Callithrix jacchus: one gene and its partners. The protein of the gene in region 1 interacts with the protein of each later gene in a biochemical or structural test. Links are inferred from orthologs where the notes say so. Each region holds a gene or a part of one and is shown on either strand. Other genes may lie near its edges. The genes, in order: ESR1, ARNT, TRIM24, NRIP1, SAFB, PHB2 and FLII.

Evidence for each region.
Region 2: the proteins of ESR1 (region 1) and ARNT form a complex in vitro, tested with the Homo sapiens proteins (2 studies listed by BioGRID). The link is inferred for Callithrix jacchus from reciprocal best matches to the Homo sapiens genes ESR1 and ARNT.
Region 3: the proteins of ESR1 (region 1) and TRIM24 form a complex in vitro, tested with the Homo sapiens proteins (4 studies listed by BioGRID). The link is inferred for Callithrix jacchus from reciprocal best matches to the Homo sapiens genes ESR1 and TRIM24.
Region 4: the proteins of ESR1 (region 1) and NRIP1 form a complex in vitro, tested with the Homo sapiens proteins (4 studies listed by BioGRID, with this or other methods). The link is inferred for Callithrix jacchus from reciprocal best matches to the Homo sapiens genes ESR1 and NRIP1.
Region 5: the proteins of ESR1 (region 1) and SAFB form a complex in vitro, tested with the Homo sapiens proteins (2 studies listed by BioGRID). The link is inferred for Callithrix jacchus from reciprocal best matches to the Homo sapiens genes ESR1 and SAFB.
Region 6: the proteins of ESR1 (region 1) and PHB2 form a complex in vitro, tested with the Homo sapiens proteins (3 studies listed by BioGRID). The link is inferred for Callithrix jacchus from reciprocal best matches to the Homo sapiens genes ESR1 and PHB2.
Region 7: the proteins of ESR1 (region 1) and FLII form a complex in vitro, tested with the Homo sapiens proteins (2 studies listed by BioGRID). The link is inferred for Callithrix jacchus from reciprocal best matches to the Homo sapiens genes ESR1 and FLII.

What each region holds. Positions count from the first base shown.
Region 1 is NC_133505.1:158,537,427-158,541,475, reverse strand, and holds the start of ESR1 (estrogen receptor), read right to left. Parts: upstream 2,801-4,049; 5' UTR 2,668-2,800; intron 1-2,667.
Region 2 is NC_133519.1:10,774,372-10,778,412, forward strand, and holds the start of ARNT (aryl hydrocarbon receptor nuclear translocator), read right to left. Parts: upstream 2,801-4,041; 5' UTR 2,666-2,800; coding exon 2,641-2,665; intron 2,477-2,640; exon of another isoform or gene 2,373-2,476; intron 1-2,372. UniProt on the Homo sapiens protein: Required for activity of the AHR. Upon ligand binding, AHR translocates into the nucleus, where it heterodimerizes with ARNT and induces transcription by binding to xenobiotic response elements (XRE).
Region 3 is NC_133512.1:108,786,538-108,790,037, reverse strand, and holds part of TRIM24 (transcription intermediary factor 1-alpha), read left to right. Parts: intron 1-417; coding exon 418-686; intron 687-3,500. UniProt on the Homo sapiens protein: Transcriptional coactivator that interacts with numerous nuclear receptors and coactivators and modulates the transcription of target genes.
Region 4 is NC_133522.1:21,972,342-21,975,841, forward strand, and holds part of NRIP1 (nuclear receptor-interacting protein 1), read right to left. Parts: intron 2,121-3,500; 5' UTR 1,794-2,120; coding exon 1-1,793. UniProt on the Homo sapiens protein: Modulates transcriptional activation by steroid receptors such as NR3C1, NR3C2 and ESR1. Also modulates transcriptional repression by nuclear hormone receptors.
Region 5 is NC_133523.1:5,347,249-5,350,748, reverse strand, and holds part of SAFB (scaffold attachment factor B1), read right to left. Parts: coding exon 2,994-3,500; intron 2,570-2,993; coding exon 2,520-2,569; intron 1,818-2,519; coding exon 1,723-1,817; intron 15-1,722; coding exon 1-14. UniProt on the Homo sapiens protein: Binds to scaffold/matrix attachment region (S/MAR) DNA and forms a molecular assembly point to allow the formation of a 'transcriptosomal' complex (consisting of SR proteins and RNA polymerase II) coupling transcription and RNA processing.
Region 6 is NC_133510.1:21,236,024-21,240,168, forward strand, and holds the start of PHB2 (prohibitin-2), read right to left. Parts: upstream 2,801-4,145; 5' UTR 2,676-2,800; coding exon 2,549-2,675; intron 2,447-2,548; exon of another isoform or gene 2,404-2,446; coding exon 2,319-2,403; exon of another isoform or gene 2,311-2,318; intron 1,702-2,310; coding exon 1,622-1,701; intron 979-1,621; coding exon 794-978; intron 237-793; coding exon 107-236; intron 1-106. Other genes in the region: EMG1 (ribosomal RNA small subunit methyltransferase NEP1), read left to right, coding at 3,056-3,223.
Region 7 is NC_133506.1:82,688,214-82,692,409, forward strand, and holds the start of FLII (protein flightless-1 homolog), read right to left. Parts: upstream 2,801-4,196; 5' UTR 2,768-2,800; coding exon 2,705-2,767; exon of another isoform or gene 2,452-2,704; intron 1,523-2,451; exon of another isoform or gene 1,451-1,522; coding exon of another isoform or gene 1,403-1,450; intron 1,100-1,402; coding exon 989-1,099; intron 676-988; coding exon 604-675; intron 1-603. UniProt on the Homo sapiens protein: Is a regulator of actin polymerization, required for proper myofibril organization and regulation of the length of sarcomeric thin filaments. It also plays a role in the assembly of cardiomyocyte cell adhesion complexes.

The DNA of each region.
Region 1 (4,049 bases):
ATGATCAGATGTTCATAAACTCCTAGCAGCTTTGGTGCTGATCTTGAATTATTTCATTTATTCAACCAACATGTATTGAATAACAGGCACTGTGATAGGCTTAGAGTAGAAATAACTTCCTCATATTGAGTTTCTAATGTTTAGAGACTGCAAGGAGTTTAATGAGTGGTTTAATCTCATTTACTCCATATAATTCTCTCTGGTAGCTACTGTTAGTACTCCAACTTTGCAGATGAGAAATTTAATGATGGAGGTGACATAATCTGCCTCTAATTGCACAGCTAGAGAGTGGTGGGAGCTATGACTGGGTACTCAGTCATTTTTCCATGGATTTGAATTGAACCACTTAATAGAATTCTCACCGAAGAGTGATGTGCTGTGGAAAACCTGAGCAGAGGTATCAGCTTTCTAGCAGAATATTTTAAGGGGCAGGTGAGTAGGGTAAGCCCCTTCATTCTCTGAAACAATCACAGACTTTCAGTGAGAAAAATGTTATATGCCTTAGATAGAACCATAAAACTCACTGATGTGCATGTTTTTGCTGTTGTGTCCAGTGGGAATGATTCAGAGGAAGTCTAATGAGATGTTGCCCAGAAGGCAGGCACACATCATCAGTCTTACCTGTACAGTGCCTGCCTTTGAAAAGAGCACTTTATTTGATAATATGCAGGAGGCTTCACAGATAGCACCTCTTTCTCAGAGATCAACAATGGAGACTCTATCCTGATAGAGGCAGATGGACAGGACCATGTCGCCACTGCCATAGATGAATCCTATGCTATGAGTTTATTTTGTTTATTTTATTTTGTTTATTTTATTTTTTACCAGCAGTGTGGATGGTCTACTGAGAGCTGGGTCACTCTTTTCCTTGCCCTTTTTTCCAAATAGCCAATCTGGAGTCATGAAGCAGAGCTGTTCCCTATTCAAAGCAAAGTAAACTCAACCACCAGGCCCTCAACTCAAGCAACTGTTCTGACCAACTAGGATAAATGAGTGCAGCTAGACTAAGAGAAGACCTGCAGACAACCATGTGAACTTGTTTGGCAGACACCTGATGTACATCGTTATGCTGTGTGGAGGTTTAGAGTGAGTGTTTGAAGGGAAGGTGGGTGGTAGCTAGCTCTAAACCCAATACTGAACAAAGACAAGAGTTCTCAGAAACAAAAGATAGTTTGACTTTTCTTGCTGCAAGTTTAAGACCCAAACATTGTATTCCTTTCCTTGACTGTCATGAGCAATAAAACAAAACAAATATCTCCAAGTGTCCAAGAAAAATCTTCTGCTTGTAAATACGACCCTTGTGTTCTTAATGAAAATTCTGCTGTTTTCCTACATCATGCCTTTTACCTACATTGTTTTTATTTCTAATTTCCTTGAAAATCTAACATTCTAGATTATTTTATCCAACCGCTACGGCATTATCTGCATGCATTTCACAGCCCAGTCGGCGGTCTTCACAGGACATTAACAAAATCAAAGAAAACATTTGCTTTTAAGAACTAGGAGGGGATTTTATGGTATCGAAATGAACCCTGAACCGTGGACCTCAAACATTCTCACCCAATTTAAATTCTCTGTACATTTCAGAATTCAGTTCAAACACTTCTGCCTGGTCTTCCTAAGTTTACTCTCAACATTAAAATATGTATATACCACATTCAAAACTGGATGAGTTTCCCAGCAGCCTCATATACATAGAGTTGCTCTGTAAGCCTATTAGATCTGACACATAAAGGCGTTAAAAATCTGGCACCTTTAAGCAGGAACCATTGCCATGATCACAAGTCCTGATAAAGCCCAACCCTTCTATCAAGTAAATTGCTTTAAAATGTTTTAATCACGTCGGCTCCTATGGACTTGAGAGAATACTGGTTATCTTCTTGACAAAGCATGAAACTTACAGTTCAACGAGCATTTCCTAAGACATGTGGCATGCCTCTGACCAAAATGAAAGTATTCTGCCCTGTCTTGTGACTGCCACATCATTACCCGAGTAGCCCACTGCTATATGTGGTGAAGTCATTATGCGTGTGCCTTTGAGAGGCAAAAAGGAACCGAGAAAATGGGACACCAGGACTCAAAAGAACTTGCTTAAAATCAGAGGCCAATTTCAAGACAGAATCGTTCATTCTTGTGCTGCTGGACGTGTAGCTTTTCAGAAAACTTGACTGCCTTTAGGAAACAAATAATGGATCATTCACATCTTTTAGTTCAAACTCATATAAGTTATGGCTCCAAAGATTAAGAAAACAGGTAATGTGTTCCTGCTAGTCTGAGATTTCTCTAATTAAGAACTTTTAAAATTCTAACACAGCTCAACAACACGGTGTCTCCTAGCTAGTGCTGGATCCGATAGATATATGTTATCTGGAGCAGACAGGCAGCCTGTGTGTGCTGTACTAAGAACAGGGTAGTCGGATTGCCCTCTGCCTCAGCTAAATATTATTCTAGAAGTGAATTTCCACTGTACCAAGTTTAGATTTCACATTTTATCATCCTAGGAATACTTGCCAGTAAGTTTGCAAAATATCCTTGGAGCAGAAAGAGGAAAAAAATGAACATTTTTTAAAGATGAGACGTAAGCTCTGAAGTTACAATATGCTTGTAAACAGTAGCACATTATATCAAAAAGGAAAAAATAAATTGAGAAGAAATAGGAGTACCTACTTGAAGAGAAGATTATCACTCAGAGACTGTCTTCTTATGCTATAGAATGGGCAGGAGAAAGGAGCATGGACCTTTCGAGCCTGTTAAAGAGCTTCTGAGCATGGAGCCTGCATTTTCAGTTTTGGTAAAATCCGTTCTGACTCGGTAGACAGGAGGCTGTTATGACCATGAAATTAGGAAATGCAGTAACTCAAAAATAAAGAACTAGCACCACCATTTGACTAGGATTGGAAAATCTCATTGAAAACATAGAGGAGGGGGTGGCCTTGCTTTCTCCAAGCCCGGCTTGAATCTAACTTTCTTAGCACTTCCACTAAAATGGATGTTCAAAAAGAGGTAAATCATGTGTTAATCTGCCTGAAATTTTTTTACGCCCTCCAGCCGATTTTTCTCTTTATTCCTAATAAAGCTCAAAGTCTAGACAGGCGTGTGGGGCTGGAAAAAAAAATAAAACATTCATTCAGCACATAAATTTTGTTAATCCAAAGTTAGCTAGAGCTAAACTAAAAGCAGGGGTAAGGAAATGTCTTCTGTTAGTGTTATTTGGGAATTTCTTACTCAGGCATGGACTCAAAAGCCGGCTCTGCACTTCCTGTTACTGATTAATTAGGTTCTTGACTTCGGTAACCTGCACAGGTCTAGCTCCTTACGCTCTTTGGTCCTTAATTTCTGTCGCATGATCCTTCCATAAACTGTCCGGTATTTCCTGCAGCAATTTTTAAATTTATGTGGTTATTGATTGTTTGTTTAACACTAAGATACACATTTTAAAGTAGAAAAAGGGCTGTAAAATCATATTAAAATTTTTTAATAACATTGAAATTTTAATATCTCATCATGTCTGCTGTGGTTTATGCAGTATGTACTTTCAATGATTTTTTAAAAATATTTTCGCTTTTTCTTCTTTACAAGTCTTGAAAAAGGCTGGTTTTCTGGAAGTGAGAATGATAGAGGGGGCAGAGGAGGAATCTCTCTCTTGCTATTGTATTGCTCTCTGTCCCAGTACCCAGTACAGAGTGACGTCTGCCAAGTAAGCTACACCTCAAAACTGTCATGGGAAGGAAGGAAAACCAAAAGAAATAATCAATGCTTTAAAACATTTTGAAATAAATGATCTTAACTGTCTTCAATCTTCTCTATACTTGTCAGTTAGCCCATAAAATAATTTGAATATGTTAATTTGCCTGAGAGAAGCTTCTCCAGAATACAGAGAGCAGGACACATTTTAGTTAGTATGTAAAGTATTTAATTTCAAGTGACTGAACATAAAATCTCAACAAGATTCACTTACACAAGGAATAATCACGTATACTAACGCATTGCAGGGGTTCTGTAAGCATTTTTATTGTTTTTATTATGATACCTAGTGAAAGGTAGATTAT
Region 2 (4,041 bases), on another chromosome or scaffold:
AAACTCATGATGTCCCTGGTCCTTAAAACGGCTCTAAGGAAATAAGGTATGACAATGTAGCAAAGAATTCTGACCTGAAAACCATTTACTTTCTTTTCACTGAGCACAGTACATTTCCACATAATGTCCCTCCATTCATTAATCTCATTTCCCAAAATGCAACAGACTGCTGAAAAAATCCACAATGTAGGCTGGGCATGAGGGCTCACACCTGTAATCCCAGCACTTTGGAAGGCTGAGGCAGGTGGATCATGAGGTCGAGTTCAAGACCATCCTGGATAACAGGGTGAAACCCCATCTCTATTTAAAAAAAAAAAAAAAAAAATCCACAATGTATCTATGATCTCTTCCTCTTGATATAAAAGTACAAAGGGAGAAAAAAAAAAGAAAATACATCTTTTGATTTGTTTGAACTGAACATGGGATCAATAAGTTAGAAGAGACAGAATTTTTCAACATCAAAAAAGAAATCTGGCCAGGCAAAGTGTCTCACATCTGTATTCCCAACTTTGACATACTGAGACAAGTCTTGCTTGAGACCAGGAGATCAAGAACAGCCTGGGCAACATAGTAAGACATCTGTCTCTACAAAAAAAATTTAAAAATTAAGTGGGCATAGTGGCAAGGCACCTGCAGTGCCAGCTATTCAGGTGAGAGGTTAAGGACTGAGGTGAGAGGATCACTTGAGCCCCAGAGGTGGAGGCTACCATGAGCAGTGATCTTGCCACTGCACTCTCGCCTGCGTGACAGAACAAGGAGCAAGACCCTGTGTCAAAAAGAATAGAGGAGAAAAGAAAAAAGAAAGGATCTAAAAATTGCAGAAGCAAGGCAGCCAAAGCACAGTAAGAGAAAAAAAAAAACTGTTTCATTAACAAGGATTCTGTGTGCTCTTGACACACACACACACACACACACACACACACACACTCTCTCTCTCTCTCTCTCTCTCTCTCTCTCTCTTTCTGCTGAGATTTAAGCTGATATTGATCAGCTTACGAAAATACGGTCAAGAGGCTGTCATTCTGGTTGCTGGTGTTTAAAAAACAAAACAAAATATAGCAACCCCACCCACACAGCTGGAAAAAAGCTTCTGACATAAGAACTAAAACTTGTTTACCCGGGCCACTTTTTAATGAGAAATGCTTTGCAATTTAACTAGGATTATATAAGTATTTTGCAATGTGTGATCAGTTAAAAATCTTGTTTATTTACTCCATAGTTCACGGATAGGTTATTTTACTACAAGGTCAGGTTTGCCGTTAACGGTATTTTTCCTGTTTTACAGTTTTATTCCATCACTCAGCACTTCCTGCAATGTAATTTTTGCCATTAATTTTACCTCCCTTTCCTTTAAAAAAAAATGTAAAGATTTTTAAAAGATGACATGTAACAAATTAACCATTTCTTAAAACAGCTGTTCCCAGAAACATGGTGAAAAAGAAATTTCAGTGATTCAACTGTCCTATCAAAATTTGGGTATCACAAAATAATACCACCTTTCAGTAACATGAAAAACAAATCTAACTTAAATTTCAACGTGGGGATGGGGGAATCACTCCCACTGTTGTATTTTCAAGAAATTCTCTGCCCACCCCCCAACCCCACAACAGACACACACACACACACACACACACACACCCCTCAAGGCTTTTTTTTTTTTTTTAAGGCTATCAAATATACTGGTTTCTGGGAAAGGATAGACTTTATTTTGCAAAAATGACCAAGGTCAGCGAGATGAACTAGGCCCCTAAAATGAAATACCTTCTAAGGAGAAATAACTGTAACATAGAGGAAAGAGGGCTGGGACTAGTAATTTGAAGATCTCATCTCTCTAGACCTACACTAAAGCCTACTCCATCTCTTAGACAAGAAAGGTGAGATCTTTTTGATATTTGGTTATTATTTGAAACTGAGAAACGGTGTGGAATCAAACTTTTCTGAAAGAGTTTGGAGATTGCATCGACCCGGGCCTAACAAGATTTAAACCTGGGGCCGTGGACCAAAGACCTGTCCGGAACCACAACCATTATACAAACCCCTGCCCTCAGCAGGCAAAGACACTACAGGCCTTCTTAAAACAAGACCTAAGTTTCAAAGCATAGTCCGGGGTTGCGGGTGGGAGGTAACAGCCTAAAGAAACGTCGTATATATCAAATAATGTCCATTTTTAATTTTTTTAATTAAATTCTAAACCTTTAAATGTTTGGAAGCAACACCTCAACTAAAGAGCAATATGGTCCAGCTAGCCCTAAATCCAAACTATCCTTAAAGCAAACCGAGCCGCTCTGCCTACAGTTTTCGGCATCAAGCGGCTCCAGCGAGCAGAGGGTTAAGAGAGGACCACATCACAGACCAGACGCCGCCCGAGAAGCGAGGGGGGGCCAGCCCCGCACCGGCCGCAGCTCCAGCGGAGCTCAGGACAGGGAGCCCCCAACTCCCTCGCTCCCTCCACCTCGAGTCTACCCAAGTACTCAGGGTCAGGCCCCTCCCCGGGTCACCGCTCCCCCACTGTCCCCTCGCGGCCCTGCCCCGCCCCGGCGCCTTCAGCTCCAGCTCCGTCCCCTCAGTCCTGGGTCTCCTCAGTTGTCAGCCCCTTCAGCCCCTCCCCTTTAGAGGCGCCCCAGTCCTCCGTCTCCTCACCGGGGTTGGCAGTAGTCGCCGCCATGGCCGTGGATGCCACCGCCGCCGCGCCACCCCCCCCAGTGGGAGGAGCCACCGCCACCGAACCGGGAGGGAGGGGGAGAGAAAGGCCACTCCCCAGAAGCGGCGCCTAACCGCTGCCTCCGCTACCGCGGAATCCAAGATGGCGGCTTCAGCAACCCCCACCATCCCAGCCTCTGTAGCGGAGAGACCCCGCCTGTACGGTGGGCGGAGTCAACACACGGCCAGCCTCCTAGGAAAAAACTGACCACTGAAAATGCCAAATCGACTAAGGGCAGGGCTAGTCACTGCGCCAGCCAGTCCACGGGAGGGAGGGCGAGGAAGAAGTCCAGCTGTCTTCCTAACCCCGCCCTCCTTGCGTAAGAGGTCAATGACCAAGTGATGTCATTGAAATACAATTAAAACGGGTATTTTAGGCCCGGTGAGGTGGCTCGCGCCTGTAATCCCAGTACTTTGGGAGGCCGAGGCTGGTGGATCATCTAAGGTCAGGGGTTCGAAACCAGCCTGGCCAATATGACGAAACCCCGTTTCTATTAAAAATACAAAATTGGCGCATGCCTGTAATCCCAGCTATTTGGGAGGCTGAGGCAGAAGAAAAGCTTGAACCTGGGAGGCGGAGGTTGCAATGAGCCAAGTTTGTGCCTCAGCATTCCAGCCTGGGCAACAAGAGTGAAACTCCGTTTCAAAAAAAAAAAAAATAGGTATTTTACTAAAAACCTTCGCTTGCTGGTGGATTCGTCTGAGTGGTTGCCCTGCAAACAATTTATCTTGTAAATCCCCTGTAGGTGCTCTAATACTTAAACTTCATATGGTGATTTGTAATCCTTTCCAGTTTTTTCCCCCTTTTAAAGACTTTTGTCCTTGGTGAAAAAAGTTAAATGACTTATTTTTTTTTTTGAAACAGAGTCTCACTCTGTCGCCAGGCGCCAGGTTGGAGTGCAGTGGCGCGATCTCGGCTCGCCGCAACCTCCGCCTCCCGGGTTCAAGCAATTCTCCTGCCTCAGCCTCCCCAGTAACTGGGACTACAGGCCCGCGACACCACTCCCAGCTAATTTTTGTATTTTTAGTGGATACGGGGTTTTGCCATGTTGGCCAGGATGGTTTCGATATCTTGACCTCGTGATCCGCCCGCCTCGGTCTCCCAAAGTGCTGGGATTACAGGCGTGAGCCACCGTGCCCGGCAGTGACTAATTTTTGAATGCCTGCTATGGAATTTGTAATATAAAAGGATCCGGGTGTTAACGGTTTGGTATGGGAGATAGCAACAGCAAAAACTGGAGGCAATGGATGAAGAAAGTATTTGCAGAGTGGCTAACTTCCTTTGGTCAGTGATAGGGACACAATGAGGAGTTTTTTTGTTTCCTTTTTGTTTTTTGAGGC
Region 3 (3,500 bases), on another chromosome or scaffold:
CTGCCATACAGTGAGACTGAAATTTTTTTCATATATTTTAACCTAACAATATATTATGATAGTGCAGAAACAGATAATGAGATTTCAGCTATTAAGCCAGACAAAGAGATTTTTTCAAATATCAAACAATGACACTGTTTACCAAATTTTTTATAATAGAGTTTTATAAAAACATGTTATGGTTTTATTATTTTTAAATGAATTAATAATTTTAAAAATTATTTTTATTTCTAATATAAATTTTAGTGATTAGAATTTAAATGAACAAAAGCTGTTTGGGGATATATATTTCAGAGTGTAAAAGGGCTCATGAGACCAGAGAATTCCTTGACAATTCTGCAAAAATAGCCTTACAAAATGTGATATTTCACCACCTATCTGAAAAACTTTTTCCCTTAACCTTTTCTTTTTAATCAGGTTCTTTAGTAATCGAGGATAAAGAGAGCCAGCCACAAATGCCTAAGCAGAATCCTGTCGTGGAACAGAATTCACAGCCACCAAGTGGTTTATCATCAAACCAGTTATCCAAGTTTCCAACACAGATCAGCCTAGCTCAATTACGGCTCCAGCATATGCAGCAACAGGTAATGGCTCAGAGGCAACAGGTGCAACGGAGGCCAGCACCTGTGGGTTTACCAAACCCTAGAATGCAGGGGCCCATCCAGCAACCTTCCATCTCTCATCAGGTAAATTTGGAAGCAGGCCTGTCCTCACTTAGATAATTATAGTATAATTGTGCTGAGCAGCTCAAAATAATAAAGACATCCATTTTCCATCATCTAAATATCTGCATTTATAAAAATTTATCACAATAAGGATCCCTGACTTAATGCCTAGTTTTTATCCCTACTTAAAAAGAATTAAATGATTTAGCTGATAAATCTATTTTCATCTACCTACGCTTCATCGTCTTCAAATTAAAGCAGAGGATAAATGTTTATATTCCTAAATAACCCAAGCCCTGTGATTGATGGGAAAAGCTGTGTACCTGTAATTCCTATATTAGTGCTTCAGAATGATGACTACATTAAGAATCTGTCCTCTGTGAGGATGCAGTGTTTAGAAAACCACATTACATCTTAGAAACTAGGGCAGAATGAAATAGAAAAGGGAAAAAGTGTGGTTAATTATAATCTACCTTTTTCAAACTTTATTTCTGAGCAAATATACTATTTACCATTTTAATTTTTACTGCGATATTTTTTTGTAGTGGGGAGAGGGGCAAAGTCTGACTCTGTCACTCAGGTGGGAGTGCAGTGGCACGATCTCAGCTCACTACAACTTCTGCCTCCCGGGTTGAAGCAATTCTCATGCCTTAGCCTCCTCTGAGTAGCTGGGATTACAGGTGTGCACCACCATGCCTGGCTAATTTTTATATTTGTAGTATGTTGGTCAGGCTGGTCTCAAACTCCTGACCTTAAGTGACTAGCCCGTCTCAGCCTCCCAAAGTGCTGGGATTACAAGGATGAACCACTGTGCCTGGCCTCAGTCCAGTTTTTGAAGATAAAATGTATATATATATTTTTTTTGTTTGTTTTTAAAAGACAGGGTTTCATCATGTTGACCAGGCTGGTCTTGAATTCCTGACCTCAGGTGATCCGCCCGACTTGGCCTCCAAAAGTGCTGAGATTACAGGCGTGAGCCACTGCACCCTGCCCTTTTTTTGTTTCGTTTTGTTTTATTTTGTTAGTTTAACTCAGGTTACATGTGGGCAGACTTAGATTTAATACAAGTTTAGTAAGGAATTTAAAGTCTAATTTATAAAATTTGTGTGTTGTTTCAGTTACATCATTTATTTATATACTCTTTTTTTTTTTTTTTTTTTTTTTTCCTTTTGAGGTGGAGTTTTGCTCTTGCTGCCCAGGCTGGAGTGCAGTGATGCCATCTCGGCTCACCACAGCCTCTGCCTCCCAGGTTCAAGCGATTCTCCTGCCTCAGCCTCCTGAGTAGCTGGGATTACAGGCATGTGCCACACCCAGCTAATTTTGTATTTTTCGTGGACGGGGTTTCTCCACATTGGTCAGGCTGGTCTTGAACTCCCAACCTCAGGTGATCTGCCCGCCTCAGCCTCCCAAAGTGCTGGGATTACAGGCATGAGCCACCATGCCCGGCTGTGTATATTCTTTTTCTGCAAAGAATTTGAAGTGATTTACAGTATAGGATACAAATGAAATTAAGCAGAGTTTACTAAAAGAGTCAAAGTATGCAGACATAGGCTAAGAATTCTCATACTGAAAAAGACAACTCAGCTCAGAACGTCCTGCCAACCAAAGCAAAAAGGAAACAAGAATAATAAAATGAAAACATACCAATTAATTAGGGAGAGAAAGTTTTAATAGTATTTTGCTAGCACTAAGAGGAATGGTTCTTTATGAAAAAGCAATTAAATGGCATAATGCAATTTTTTTGGTAGAAATTTAAAAAAATAGAAATGGTCTTTCTTTATATGGGACTCATACTTTAATCCTCAGTAAAAGTTGTGGGCATTTGTAGATCCAGAATGTGTTACATGGTGTATGTAAAGGTCTGAGGTAATGTATTTGAGGTTTATAATGATTTGACTAATAATCCTAATAATTGGACTAAGAAGGTATGTAAAATCCAAGGGAATATTAGCATGGCTGTTTAAAACTTCGTTTCAAGCCATAGTCTTAAAAAAATTAAGTAGCAAGCAATGTAAAAGATCTTTGAGTGTTCCATGGGAAGATAATTTTATACTTTATATACTAGGAGTATATCTAGCAGAGTAGAAATTTTGTTAAGAAAATTGAAGGCAGAATGACATATTTTAGATAGACTGCAAAGATGCCTAAAATTTTTCTGAAGCTAGATAATGGAAATGAGAAAATATTAGAATGCCCAGTGCTAAGCACTTGCAAGTATTAATATTTACCTTCTAAATATTTAGTAGTTGATTGATAAAAGGAATGAACCCATCATTTGAATTCATTGCCTTTTCACTAAGAAGTCAAGATCCGGCTGGGCACGGTGGCTCATGCCTATAATCCCAGGACTTTGGGAGACTTGAGGTTGAGGATCACTTGGCTCCAGGAGTTGGAGACCAGCCTAGGCAACATAGGGAGACCCCTCCCCCCATCCCCATCTCAGAAAAAATTAGCTAGGTGAGGTGGTAGCACATGCTTGTAGTTCCAGCTATCTTGTAGGACTGAGATAAGAGGGATTGCTTGAGCCTGGCAGGTCAAGGCTGCAGTGAACCATGATCCAGCCCAGTGAGAGAGCAAAACGCTGTCTTAAAAAAATTAACTGAGGCAGTTAGTAGACATTATATGAAAATAGTTATATAAGCAGTGACAAAAGGAAGTGACTTGAGCCTTTAGCCTGATTTTCTCAGAAATTTTCTTTTGATCTTATTTCAGTCTCTATAATTTAGTGCTATCATCTGTACAGTCTCTATTATATAACCTAATTTTCACATTTAGAACAAAGTACTCTTCGCATACTGCAGTTTTTATATCACATACTATTCTTTTTCTGTTGGT
Region 4 (3,500 bases), on another chromosome or scaffold:
TGGTTAGATGTAGTATTTGTTAGCTTTTCAGATGGAGTATTGCAGGCATATGGTGGGGAATTCCATTTAATAACCAGAGAGTGTTGAGAGAGATTGATGGGAGACTCCGCTTTGGTTGATGTAAGTAATGGTGGAGTGCTCACTGGAGTAGTCCGATTTGTACTGGGGCTTTCTATCACAGAAGTCCTTGAATAATTCTGTGTATTGAACTTGGTTACCTCATTGTGTACTCCCTGAGGGCTGGCGTTTTTTTCTACATTTTCTTCATTCTTATGGCCAAGTAGCAATTGAAGAAGTGTTACTTTCTGGTGTGAGTTTAGCTTAGAATTCTTTGAGGTATCTTGATCTTCTTTAATATCTACATCTGGGACTTTTGGATCCCAAGTGTTCAGCAAGGATTGAGTAAAGTTATCCAAAGAAACAGGTTGGTCAGATTCTGATTTTTCAACTCGGTGTTTGCAAGACAAGTCTATGGGAACGCAGTTGGAGTAAGAACTTTCATCACCACTGCTGTCATCTGTAAAACTAGGATTGTTATCTGAATATTCATCAATAGTTGTAGGAGTACTACTTTCCTCAAAAATGCTTCCTCTCTCACTGTGACTATGTCCATTCACTGGCTTAGGTATAGTCTGGCTTTTAAGAAGATGTAAAAGCAAACTATTGTTAGGAGCTTGTTTTACATTGTTTCTTTCTAGTGAGTTCTTATAACCTGCATTTTTAGGGGAAGAAGGAATGATACCCATTGGATTTTGAAATGTTGCAGCATTACTTTTGCTAGCCATCAGTTTGCTTGATGATGTTCTTGCCTGACCATTAAGATGGCTTGACATTCCTTTTGAGAGCTGGAAATTGCCAACATCCTTCTGGCCATTTTCTTGCAATCTGGCCATAGCAGCAAGTCTTTCACTTGCAGCTTGATTTGCATTTTGTGTTTTTAAAGCATGTTCTCGAGAATACTGCTGCAAATGGGCTTCACTTGAAAGAAGTAATGCCAGTTGGCTACAAGCAACACTAGGTTTAGGTGAGGTGGCAGGACTAGCCCTTTTTTCCACCATGCTTGCAACAGCCTGTAATCTTGCAGCACATGACAATGGTTCACTCATGACCTTTGTTCCACTTTGTCCAACATGATGAGGAGACTCGGCAAACCTATCTCTGATTAGGTTTTTAGTCACGTCAGGAAGATTCGTGTCAGTCTTTTGATCTTTAACTTTACTTTTCTTCAACAAAGTTTTTAAGTGACTTGATGCAACACCATAGCACCTTAAATCCTTCTCCACTTTTAAAGAATCATGACTGAGGGCATATCCTTGCTCCTTGAGGCTCTGCCTAATTTGTTGTGACAGAGCAACAGTCTGCAGCCTAGAGCTGAATGACTGAAGCAAAGAGGCCAGTAATGTGCTATCCTGTTTGCCTTTAGGCACATTGTCAACCATGCCAGCCAGCAAAGCTTCCTTCTTTACGTTTAAATTTACGATAGAATCAGACAGCCTCTTCCGCTTTGCTGCATTCCAGTCCTCGGAAGACTGCAACAGTCTGGCTTTTTTGAGATGCAGCATGCCAGATCCCTGATATGTGTGTGTATTGAGAACTGGACAATTACTTTGACAGGTGGGAAATGCACTGCCAGAAATGTTAAAGTTCTGATCCTCTTCATTATGCCCAGCAGACTTTTTGTCAATGGCAGTACCTGATCCCCCTGCTGCCTGATGCATTAGTAATCCTTCTAGGTAAGTTAAAACAATAGAATCCTGGTGCACATCAGAGCCAAGCTCTTCTCCATGAGTCATGTTCAATAGAAGTGTTCACAAGGGCTTGGTTTCTATTCACTTTGAAGAATGGTTTTCTGCGGTGAGATGTAACTTTAATAACTGAGTATCAGTTTATCACCTTCCATAGCACTGAGAGAGAGACATACTCTTACATTCTGATGAGGATTTCTTTTGGCAATGACAAGATAAATGCAGTCTGACCACAGAGCTGATGAACTTCTAAGCAAAAAGGAGGATAATTCCTTAAAACATAGGTCTGTAGCAGTAAGCAGATATAATCCTTAGTGAATATATTCTTTTTCCTTCTTCATCTTTTATTCCCCATTAAATGCAAATATCAGTGTTCTAAAAAAAATAAAAATAAGAATAGTTAAGGAGGTGCAGAACTAGAATCATGTCATGATACCTACAAGCAAAATAATATGGCATTTGTAAGTTTATATATACATATCATTAGTCACCTTAGTAATTTGTTTTATTGCCATTCTATTCAAATGAAAATCTCTACTAGAAATCCTGTGGGTTAATCTATACTGTTAAAATGATCAAATCATTTAGAGAAGAGAGCATTCTTTAATGTTATATAAACGTCTTCCAAAGCCTGCCAAGTCTCTGAATTTTCATAAGCACCTTTCTGCAAATTAATGTGAATGTTAAGTCTCCTTTACAGGTTTATAGCTCTATAGGGGAGCTAAAAGTTGCTTCCTACATTACTGGTCACTTAGGAAGAAACAAAAGTAGATGTGCAGAAAAAGAAAAAGAGATGCAGACTCCGATGAGTCTGATGTGGGGTTGAGGCCAACAGAACAGATTCACTTCAGACATCATCCCCCAAACACCAGATATCCCATAAGTGATTTTTAGAATTTCTGTTTTTCAAAAAAAATCAAAGTACTAACAAGTTGAAGATTATTTTGTGAGCCTGTTCAAAGTGTGACAATCTTAATGATATTCCTAAACATTAAAATACAGTCATAAACTTACCTACCCATAGTTTTTACCATGACTTATTAAAGATGGAGTAGAATAATTCTTTAGATGCCCTTTAGATGCTTGTTCAGGGCTATCAAGGATTTCATATAGTTTGTTATTTAATCCTTACTCATGTGTTCTATGGAAAAGTCTTAATGTCACGTCCATTCCTTACAGATACAGAAGACAGGGAGGGCATAAAATGGAAAATGCCAAAGACATTTTAGTCACAGTTTGAAAAATATTCCAATGATATTATCTAAGAAGATACTGAACAATCCCCTATCACTAACACATATACAACAGAAGAAGCAAGAACTCATTACATTTCTGAAAACTTGATAGAGAAGTGTCAAAATTGACCTAAGGAAGGGGGCCATTACACCTTTGGAAGAAAAGCTGGAATAAATTCCATGAAGATTGTTTTTCAAGAAGCCAGAACATTTTGTTCTGGTTATTAGATCTCTTCAGTTCTACCAACAAATACCTTGGTCCCTATGGAATTGAAAAGATAAATTCTAATTTAGAGACTACCCTGTAGCTTTTTGGGTAAAATGCTAACCTCTAAGTCAAACTTTAGGAAAGAATTATCTGATTGCATCAAATTGTTAAATTGATTGAAATGATAAAAACAATACCCAAAGAAAAAGCTATAGAAAGGAGGCAGCAACAATTAAATAAATTTCAATTGTATAAAGAGGTGAGAAAAGAGTTTCTTAAGATCCCAATGCCACTATTTTAAAAAGATTTGCC
Region 5 (3,500 bases), on another chromosome or scaffold:
TTGGCGCCTACCACCTCAAAGGAAAGCGGGCAAATATGGCTCAGACCCTGAACGGGGCATGGCAATATGAAAAGCCCACAGGAAAGCCTCCTCACTGGGGGTCCCACAGTGTTAGACTGGGGAGACTAATGCTACTAATGCCGCTGTTTCGCTGTTACTCCTCCAAGGACCTCTGGCCAATTCTAATTGCTCATCTAGTTCCTCAAGGGGACTAGGAGGGCAGTGTAGGGGAACAGAGGAAAGAGAAATGAAACAGGGTTCTGCCAGTGTTCCTTTAATATGGTCTAAAACTCGTGAGGAAATGATTCCAAATATAAAGTTATGCTACGTAGACGGTAAATTACGAAGTGATGCAACATGGGAAAAAAAAAAAAAAAAAAAGAGAAAAAGACTTCACCACAGACAGAGTGACACAAAGACAGGTCTGCAGGCCATGCGCTGAACTCAGACCCGTCCTATCAGTGACCTCCCAGGTTTAAAGTGGCAGTCTTTCCACGCCACTTGGTTCTCTCAACTCCAGCAGGCTGCACTTAGGCTTGCCCTTTGATAGCAGAAGACGCCACAGCTCAGGAGAAGCCCCGAAGGAGCCAGTGGCCGTAGGTGGTATTCACACTCATCGTGCCACATGGAATCCCAGCCCCAGAGGACATTCTCAGAGGGGTCTGATCCTTTACTTAACCCACATCAGGCCAGCAATGTACCCAAGACACTGCAGTCTCTAGGGCAACACTTCCCACTGAGCACCCACCTGCCAAGGGCCACCGTGGAGTCAGGAAAGGAGCTCTAGCGGGGGAAATGTGGCGCAGGCATTGCCGGCCACACGCCTTGGATCACTGAGGCCCACGGAGCTCTTAGTTATGTCCGTAATAATGACATACTTAGTTTGATCCTCTTTTAAGTTCTTCAAAGTCAGTAATTGGGGAAAACACTTGGTTTTCTATACTGCAACGTGTTGAATGAAGCCTCACTGTGCAAAACAAAGGACTGGACTCCTTCCTTTGACTGTCCCGAAACTGAATGTGAGAGAGATGAGGAGCCCTGGATGCAGGAGGCTATCTGGGAGGCAATTCTGGGAAGCATTGAGGGGAGGGGAGGGAGAAAGCACAGGGAGGGCCAGGCGGCCGCGCTGGGCACTGGGAGTGCGGAGCTGGTACCATCAGCTCCACCTTCATGGGTTTGAGAAAGGCAGGTGTTGCAGACAAGAGGCGGCTAGAACTGCCTCCGGAGGTGAACTGAGGCAGCAACTTTGAGAGCCCCCAGCTGCTGAGGTGAGGTTCAGTCAATGGACGCCAACACCCCCATGGTCAGGGACCCCCCCCATCAGACTCTAGGGTCCTTGTTCTTGAATTCTGAGTTACAGCACCACAAACACTGTCCTAAGAACAGCACTGCCTCTCAGCCATGCCAACTAGCATCCCCACCTGCCTATCCTGGCTGCCCAGCCTGAGTATGATGTCCTAAGGACAGAGAAACGGATCCACAAGCCATCACAGGGAAGGGGGCAAGCGTGCAGAGAAGGGGAGAAATACAGCAGAGATGTGGGCTCTGGAAGCTTCCACACCACTCTCACCTCTAGCCATGGAGGGGCAGACCCTCTCCAGCCATTAGCAAGCGTAAGCTCCTGGTACCTTCCTAAGAACTCACTGAGGGGAGGAGGATCTGCATGTAAAGGCCACAACACTGGTCTCAAAGCATCTTCTCCAGAAAAGCTCTGGCACTTACCTTCCCATATTTGCTGAAAAGATTCTTCAAATCTGTAGCTCTGGTTGTAGAAGAGAGTCCACTAACCCAGAAATTTCTACCACAACTGCTGCGACCTATTTCAAAAGAAAGTTCTAGTCAAAAGCCAAAAACCCACAAGATCTCAAGACTTAGACACAACCTTTCCAAACCTGACATGGTTTCCACTTTTCCCAAGGCAGTGACAGCACTAAAAACCAAATGGGGCCGTCGGCCTGACCACTGTCCTCACCAAGACCCTCCAGTTGCGACACCAGGCCCAGCAGCACTGCCACAGGGCCCATCACAATACTGAATTGGGCTGTTGGGACCATGTGAGGTTTCCTAAGAAAGTCAGCAATCGCTTAATTACAGGAGGAACTACTGTGGCCACGTAGCAAAACAGCCAACCTCAATGTCGACAACGCATCCCATTTCTCTGTCTCCATCGATGGCTTTGTATCTATCCCACGTTTTAGCTCCTTTAGAACACTGATCAAGAAGGAATTTGGTAGGGTAAAATCATTTCTCAGTTAATGGCTTTAATGAAAGGTTACAGGATGAATGTGCTCCCAACACACTCTGAAAGAAGGGTCTGCACGAATCAACCTATTAATTCTTAGGATCTGGCTTGCCTCCTATAACCCAGAACCTGTAGAGTTAACAGCAGAGAAGGAGGATGCACAAGTCTCAGGAGTCTCTTGGGTAAGGACCGCGGTGTGCGATGAACCAGAATCAAACACCTGCCACTGTCTAGGCCATATATGCTCCAAGGGACTGGTGTCACCAGGGTGACCTACCTTTTTCCTCTTTGGAAAGCCTTTTTGTATCCGAGTCATCTTCCGGAGAACTAGAGACAAAAGACAATGTCATTCTGCAAGGAAGCAGCATGGCAGAAACAAACTCAAAACCATAAAATTCGTGCTGAGGTTGCATACCTACCCGAAATTTAGTTCTGAAAAAATGAAACCCCGACAAACTTGTATTGCAAATCTGACCTAACCATAAGATTTCAGACCCACAGGAGTTAATTAATTCTGCTGGGCTAAAGGTAATTAGGAGGAATTAAAGAACACAACCATGATAGGTTGAGAAAAGAAAAAAGATTATGTAATCAGTGTAAAATACACAAAGAGAAATAAAACATTCTTTAGAAGCAAATCTACAATTTCGTCAGTCTGGCTGGCCAATTGCAGAAAAAACAGCTTATGTGTGTCATTAAATGACCAATGAAAAGGAGATAGCGTCTGGTCTAAAACTGAGAAAAAACAAACCTCATTTTCTGATCAGCGCCCTCACTGGTTGAGGACTCTTTAGGAGCCGGAGGAACTTCATTACAAGCTTCAAAATCAAACTTCCTCCCGTCTTCTTTGCTATCTCTGGCTTCTGGGCTTGGGGCTTCCGTGGGCGCTTCCGCGAGCTCCTCGCTAGAGGCCTCCGCGAGCTCGGAGGCCGCACTACTCTGCTCAACTGCTGGCTCTAGCCCTACGGGTTCACAGTCCGTCCTCTCGCCATCGCCTGGCTGCTCCACGGGCTCCCTTTTCACTACCGCTAACAGGCTGTCTGCCTTGCTCGACTGAGCGTGTGCTGTTGACTCGCTGGCCAAATCTAAATCACCCTCTTCCGGATGGGCGCTGTCAAATAGGTCCTCTTCCTCCGCAAGCTTTCTGTCTGGCCCCACGCTACTTGTGTCCTGTGCAAATGGCTGCTCCAGCTCGGAACTTTCTTCTTTTACTGGCTCAGATTTACAAGTTTCCCCCAAAATGTCGAGTATTTTCTCA
Region 6 (4,145 bases), on another chromosome or scaffold:
GTGGGAGAGAGTCAGGTAGACCCGGTCCTGGGTCAGGAGCCCCTTCATGGAGTCTTTCCTCCTCCTGCACCTCGGAAGCCCTCGCCCCACTGCTCTTGCGACTCACCCACTTGTTTGGCTTCTACAGCAGCTGTGTACTCTCGGCTAAAGCTCAGCTCTGTGATGGCTACATCATCCAGGATGAGGCTGAAGTCCTTGGCCCTCTCTGTCAGTTCCCGGCGGATCAACAGGGATACCTGGGTGGGGGGTGAGGAGGGAAAGGGCAGGGTGGTTTGAGGGGACTGGAGAACTGAAAGGAAAGTTGTGTTGTGTGACCATCTTAACAACAGATCTCCTGAGAATGGCAGAAAAATCATCAACCCTTCCTCAGTGCCTCACCACAATATCTGAGTTGGAAGGGACTTGATTCAATCTTTTCATGTGACAGATGAGACACCTTAGAGAGATGACAGGACCGCTCCAGCTCACAGTGACCCCTAATCCTTCACTCTCCCCAATACAATACGAATTGCATTAGCTTCCTGTTGGGCAAACCTGTAACATATGCCTATCTGCTGAAAGAGGTGCAGGAAAAGCCAAGACTGGGACATTTCCCTCCATGCTTCCTAACGCCAAGTGCTATCGAGTTCTAACACTGGCTCTCCTTATTTCACAGGGGCAATTAGCACAGCTTTTAGGTGGAAATGGCAGTAGGGTGACAATCCTTTTCTAATAAGCTGCCTTTCCTAGTTCCCAATACCCCGGACCTAGGAGGGAAAGGCTGACACCATGCAGACGGTGGTGGAAGTCAGACCTGGGCGCGCTGGGTGATCAGCTGTGAGGCATTGAACTTGGCCACCACACTCTTGAGCACCTCGTTGACAATGGACGGCAACACTCGTTCCTCGTAGTCTAGCCCTAGGCGCTGGTACATGCTAGGAAGCTCCTGAGCATTGGGTCGAGACAGCACTCGCAGGGAGATATTCACCATCTGCAGGTCTGAGATTGAGGTCAGCAGTGGCTGTTCAAGGCCAAACACCCTTTCCCAAGCACTTTGTCCTTCATGTGCCTCCCTCTATGCCCTGAGCAATGATGTACAGCATGGCACTACCCTAGGGGGAGGAGAGTTAATCAGGCTGACAAGGAAGACGTGACACAGCACAGGTGAAATGCATCTTCACCTACTGTGAATTGAACTGCAACCCTGTCACTAGCAGAGCTGACCCCTCTTTTCCCCTCTGTACTCTGTGCAACTGCTAAAGTGGGTGCTTTTATGCTGTACCATAATCATGTTTCCTGTAAGGATTTGGGGACAAGAGTGTGTTCTATGAATCCTTTATTCCCAGTGCCCAGTCAAGTAAATGAATAAGTGACCCGTACTAGGTATAGTACAAAGAAGTACATTACAGATTACTGGTGAGCTACCTAACTCAGTGTGTGAGTGTGTGTGTGTGTGTGTGTGTAGGAGGAAGAGGTCTGGGGAACTCAAAGCACAGCTTCTATGTATGGTCTAGAAGAACAGGTGACCTAGTCAAGAATGGAGACGAACTTCTCCAGAACAGAGTGTACTAGTGCATGTAACAGCAGATACAATTCTTTGATTATCCTACCTGCCATGGGATTACCAAGTGCTCAGACCTACCTTTGGAGCCTGTAGGGGAGGAGATTTTTCGAGGTCTGGCCCGAATGTCATAGATAATGGGGTACTGGAACCAGGGGATCCTGGAGGGGACAGGGATACGTATTAAGAGGCTGCAGTGGCTCACGCCTACAATCCCAATATTTTAGGAGGCTGAGGCCGGCAGATCATTTGAGGTCAGAAGTTCGAGACCAACTTGACCTACATAGTGAAACCCCGTCTCTACTAAAATACAAAAATTAGCCGGGTGTGGTGGTGGGCACCTGTAATCCCACCTACTCGTGAGGCTGAGGCAGGAGAATCACTTGAACCCAGGGGGCGGAGGTTGCAGTGAGCAGAGATCGCACCACTGCACTCCAGCCTGGGCGATGGAGCAAGACTCCCTACTCCCTCTCAAGAGGGGGGCGGGGAGAGAAAAAAAAGAGAGACCGCAGTTTCACTAGCTTTGCCTGGTTTCCCCTCACCACGTGTTTTTTGGCCTGCTCCTCCCCATGACCACAGACAAGGAGAGATTCTCTTGTCCGTCTGGAAAGCAACAGTTTATGTACTGCTGGAGGTTCGCGCAGCACCCACTGTCCTGGGAGTGGGGATGAGGAGGGAAAAGAGCAGCGCTGAATCCTGTTGCACGTCCGACTACAGCCACTGCTGGGTCGGCGTCAAGGGTGAAAGGTCAGGGTCAGTTGGCTCTGGCCGCCATTACCTGAAGTGAAGGCCCTCGGCCAGGATAGTGTCCTGCTGCACTCCACCGATCCGATTGAAGAAGATTGCTCTGTGCCCGCCTTCCACTGTGGGGAGAGGGGTGGTGATCAGGCCAGGCCGCTGCTCAGAGTAAGTGCTAGACTCCGGTGGGGCGCGGGGACCGGGTAAAACACGGCAAGGGGTTTGCGGGAGGGACTGGAAGGGTCCGGCGAGCGGGCGAAGGTTGCTCACCGGTGAACACGGATTCCCGGACACCATAGGCCACGGCGCCAGCCCCCAGCAGCAGCTTCAGCGCGGTGCCCATGCCCCGGGGCCCGGCGGGCAGCCGTCCCGCCAAGTCCTTCAAGTTCTGGGCCATGTCTAATCTTGAGGCTGGCGGCACCAGAAGTGAGAAGGGGGTGCCGGCCCTCCTCTACCCGACTCCAGCTTAGGTACTGCACCCTTCACACGAGGGTTCGGACCCTTAATGCTGGGGAAAGAAAGGGCACCGGAAGTGCGCTCCCTTCGAAACCCTCCCCCTGAGCCCTCTACGGACCCGAACTTCGCGCACAGGAATCGCGTATCCGGAAGTCCCGCCCCTTTCTGGAAGGCTGCCCTCTCAGGGAGGGCAGCGCAAGACAGTAAGTCATCGCCATTTCCAAGCCCACTTTCAAAATGGCAGCCGGAAGGAAATTTGTGATTAAAAGCCGCGGGGTTCTCCTTTAAGAGCGTTAGCGCAACTTCCGGTCTGGTTGCAAGATGGCCGCGCCCAGTGGTGGATTCAAGCCTCGTGAGCGAAGCTGTGGGGAGCAGTTGGAGGACTGGGATGCTGTGGCCCCCAAGCGGCCCCGAGTCGGGGCAGGAAACAAGATCGGAGGCCGTAGGCTTATTGTGGTGCTGGAAGGGGCCAGTCTGGAGACAGTCAAGGTAGTTTAGGAAAGGAAGTGGAGAACTGGTAAATCGCAAGTTGGGACTCCGTGGAATGAGGGTGAGGGGCTCGGAGTGGATAGAGAAAGCAGAAAGGGGTGAAAAATGTTTTTGGAGAAAGGTGGCTTGGCTGTCTGTCTGTTGATTTGATATCCTGGGATGGTAGTACTCATTTTTTTTTCGAGACGGAGTCTCGCTCTGTCGCCTAGGCTGGAGTGCAGTGGCGCGATCTCGGCTAACTGCAACCTCCACCTTCCCGGTTCAAGCGATTCTCCTGCCTTAACCTCCTGAGTAGCTGAGAGTATAGGCGCACACCACCATCACACCAGGCTAACTTTTTTGTGTTTTTAGTAGAGACGTGGTTTCACTATGTTGGCCACTCTGGTCTCTAATGATGCAAGAGGCAATTTAATAAAAAAGTAAAGTAAAATGAAGAGGGGTTACTCCCAGTTTTAAGATTGGCATGAGGGTGGGACATGGTGACTCACACCTGTAATACCAGCACTTTAGGAGGCTGACGCAGGCAGATCACTTAAGGTCAGGAGTTCAAGACCAGCCTGGGCAACATGGTGAAACCCCGTCTACTAAAAATACAAAAACTAGCTGGGCATGGTGGCACACACCTGTAGTCTCAGCTACTTGGGAGCTGATCTCGTGATCTGTCCGCCTCGGCCTCCCAGAGTGCGGGTATTTTTTTTTTTTTTGAGGCAGGGTCTTGCTCTGTCACCCAGGCTGGAGTGCAGTCGTGCAGTCTCCTCCATCTCCTGGGCTCAAGCCATCCTTCTACCTCAGCCTCCCAAGTAGCTGAGACTACAGGTGTGTGCCACCATGCGCAGCTAGTTTTTGTATTTTTAGTAGACGGGGTTTCACCATGTTGCCCAGGCTGGTCTTGAACTCCTGACCTTAAGTGATCTGCCTGCAT
Region 7 (4,196 bases), on another chromosome or scaffold:
AACATGGTTCAGCCTGTATTGGTTATTATTATTGTAGTTACTGTTCGTAACGGGTGGTAAGATTTTGGATTTCTTTTTTTTTTTTTTTTTTTTGAGATGGAGTCTCGCTCTGTTGCCCAGGCTGGAGTGCAGTGGCACAATCTTGGCTCACTGCAACCTCTGCCTCCCAGGTTCAAGCAATTCTCCTGCCTCAGCCTCCTGAGTAGCTGGGATTACAGGCACGTACCACCATGCCAGGCTAATTTTTGTATTTTTAGTACAGACGGGGTTTTACTGTGATGTACAGGATGGTCTCAAACTCCTGGCCTCAAGTGATCCACCTGCCTGTCTCCCAAAGTGCTGGAATTACAGGCGTGAGCCACCAAGCCCAGGTGTCAAGATTTTGGATTTCTTTACCTTATTCCCAGTCTAATTCTCTGACCCACATGGGTTACTTTACACAGGGCACTGCTGTAACCTCTAACAAATGACACCTCTTGTAACACCTGCCACATGGAAGTGGGCAGAGATGCTGGCCCAGCCTGGTGTCTGGCCCAGGCTTCACATCCCTGGCTGGACACTTGCCTCTACCCCAAGCCCAGTGGCCTCCTGGCCAGCACTCACGCGCAGTGACGGCAGGCTGGACAGCTCCCCATGAAGCGTGGTCAGGTTGTTGTGGCTCACAGACAAGTGTTCCTGGGCCAGGATGGGAAGCACAGGCTCAGCAGGGTGCGTGGGGTGTCCAGAGTCCCCACCTACCTCCACAACTCTGCACCATCCAGGAAGGCCTCAGCCACACAGGCCCAATTCCCCCTGCAGCCTCCCTCCCTCACAGACCTGTCCTCTTTTTGCATACGTTCCTGGACAGGGTGTCCACTCTCTTTCTGCCGGCTTTGCTCATAGCTGTCAGTGTTCTTCCTCTCTCTGGAGAATTTGTCTCCCTTCTCCACAAGCTCTGCCCATCTGGCTCATCCATAGGGACCCTCCCTGCCTGCCCAAAGCCCCTTACCAGCTTCTGCAGGGCGGCCAGCTCCTCAGGCAGGTAGCAGAGGCCAGTGCGGTTCAGCTTCAGCCATCGCAGGCTGGTCATGGCCTTGACATTCTCAGGGAAGTAGCCACCCTGGGGGAAGGATGTGATGGTGAAGCTGGCCTGGGATACAGAGCCCCTGCTCACCACCTTCTCTGGCTCCCACTGCCCACAGGAGCCTCTGGGGACTAACAGAACCAACTCCCACCAGCTGAGAGAACACAGACAGGTCATTTCATCACTGTGCCTCAATTTCTTCACCCATAGAATGGGACTAATAAAAGCCTCCCTTTCACTGTGACAAAAGTATTGGCCTAAGATCTGTCTCTGCTACTGGACTCTGGGCCCCAGGAGGACCAGGACAAAACTGGCTTGTTTCAGGTGAGAGCCCAGCACCTGGCTTTGTGGGCAGCTCCGCTCAAATTCCTCCAGCCAGCATTCCATGCTCTGACTGGCTGCCTGGGGTGGATGCTCCCTGCTTCAAGCCTTTGCGAAGGCCCCACCTGTGTCCTCACCCTACCATCAGCACACAGGCAATTCATGGTCAGGGCGAAAACCTTGCTTAGGGAGACCATGGCCCCCCACCCCACATCACTGCACTCCCCCCCACCCTTGTGAACACCCACTTTGGCATCTCCAGCGCTGTGGCACCAAGTCTGGGGCAGCACGTGCCTTCCCGTGCCCTCGGCTGGTGTTCCTTTCCCCCCAGGGCCACATTCCCAGCTGGTGACTCAGACTCTCCCCGCACAATGAAGAGGAACAGAGACCCCAGGTAAGGGTGGTGGGGATGGGGACAGGGAAAAGTGGTGTGGCCACCTGTACTCGGGGTCAAAGGTGTGTACACAAGCAGGTAAACTCAGGAAAAACCTGCCTCCTTGGCCCCAGCCCCAGACCGACACCTCAGCCAGACCCTGCCGGTCACCCACCCTGAAGGTGAGGCTGACCCTCCAGCCAGCTCTCCCCTCCCCTCTTTCTCTGCTTCCCCTTCGGTTGGGCATTGCCCGCTTCATTCGGAGCCCTGGAACCACCTCTCTCCCCACTGGCTGCGGAGGGCTGAGCTGCCGTGCCTTGTCTTTCTCAGTCCAGTAGCTGCTCAGACAACTGCCACCCAGCACCTGGCACGCCGGCCTGACACTCTCCACACCAATAAATCTCATTACACCCCTTGCGTCCAAGAAGGCGACTCTGAAGCCCCTTCACCGGCTGAGAAAGCCCGGGCTCTGAGAGGGGAAGTGATCTGATCAGGATCACACAGGATGGCGGGTGGCGGTGACGAAGAGAGGGCAGTGATGAGTCGGTTCCACACCCGCCCCTGGGCAGCCGGGCTGCCATCCCTGAGCCAGGGCCTGGCTTGAGCGTGTGACCCCAGAAGGGCGGGGAGCCTCGCCGACCCCTAGGCCACCGTCCAGCCCAGGCGGGGAACACGAACGTGGGGTTGGGGCTACCGGCCAGGTCCCCGGCGAGACTCCGAGCCCAAGCGTCCGTCCTGGGCCTATCGAGCCTCGGTCTCCCGGTACAGGCACCGGGAAGAGTCCTCGGAGGTCCATTCGTGACCAGGGAAGAGACCCACCCCGCCCCGGCCGCAGTCCCGGGTACGCGCAGGACCCGGAGCCGGGCGGGACAGGAAGCGAGAGCCAGGCTGGCTGGGCGGAAGAGAAGGCTTGCAGGGAGGCCCGTCCCGCGCCCGTCCCGGCTTACCTTGAAGTCGTTGCCGCTGAGGTCCACACCGCGCACGAACGGCAGCACCCCGGTGGCCTCCATGGCGCCGCACTCGCTGCCTGGCCGGGCCGGGCTAGGGGGACGCCCGGGCGAGGGGTGAGGGGAGCCGCGGGCTGGGCCAACGCCGGCCCCGCCCCTTTAACCCGCCCGCGCCCGCCACATTCCGCCGGGAAGTGTAGGCTTTAGGCCTCTTAGGGCCTCAGTTTCTCCGTCTTTTCGGGGGCTGCAGACCCATCAAGTTGCCCCGGCGCCCCCTGTGCTGGAGCTGGAGGCTTCCGCAATCTCCAGGCTTAAATTCCCAGAGTCCCAGGGCAGGGGCCTTCAAGGCCGCTGGTCCAGGCATGGTCCCCTGTGCTGCTGTAGCAGACGAAGCTGGCCCTGACCTCAAGTGCTTGCACTTGGCTGACCGGTGGTAGTGAGACACCTGGGTCCTCGGGTCCTAGTTCTCCTGCTCTGGATGTAGTTTCCTCATGCGTTGTTTTTATTTTGTTGACACAGGGTCTTGCCCTGCCGCCCAGGCTGGAGTGCAGTGGCGTGATCATAGCTCATTACAGCCTGGAACCCCTGGGCTCAGCCTCTCAACTAGCTGGGAGAACACCACCACACCTGGCTAAATTTATTTTTATTTTTGGTAGACATGGGGGTCTTACTATGTTGCCCAGGCTGGTCTTGAACGCCTGGCCTCAAGTGATCCTCCCGTCTCAGTCTCTCAGACTGCTGGGATGACAGGTGTGAGCCACTGTGCCCGGCCCAGTTTCCTCATTTGTAAAATGCTTCCTAAGTTTGTCGCCATAAGCAAATGAACAAAGAATGCAAGTGTAGCTCGCAGCATACAGCAGGCGCTCAGTGAGTGACAGGTTATTACTCCGTTTTGTTTTGTTTTATTCTGTGTGCCAGGTTATTATTCCCACTTTGTGTCAGCACCCTTACGCTCGTGTCCCCCAAAGGGAGGGTCTAGAAGAGAAGCATCCGTCTTGGTCCCTGCTGTTCGCAGGGGCTTACCCTGGCTGACACATAGCAGGCCCCTAAAACATGAGCCACAGCTGTTATATGACTAGCCACCATTCGCAGGGGAGGAGGGGGTCTGGTGTCCCCATTTTACAGGAGAAAAACTGAGGCCCATGTGGAGAACGGCCCACACAAGGTCGCACGGAACAGGTGGCAGGGGTAGGCGCTTTCACCACACTGTGTGCCCCGCAGGCCCACAGGTTAAGAATGAAGCCACCAAGACACACTCGCAGAGGTGATCTAAGAGGTTAGATGTGCCTCGGCCCCCGGAAGTAAAGGGGGCCCAGACAGCTTCCTTCACACTCGGCGCTCACATTACAACGCACAGGCGTCTAAGAAGGCTGCCTGTCACAATACCCGGTCGCGGGCTCCGAATGCAGCCCTGCACCTTTAAATCCAGACTGCGTCAGAGAGTCCCGCCCCGAGGGAGCGTGTCAGTTGGCTGGGGGGCGGGGCATACCCT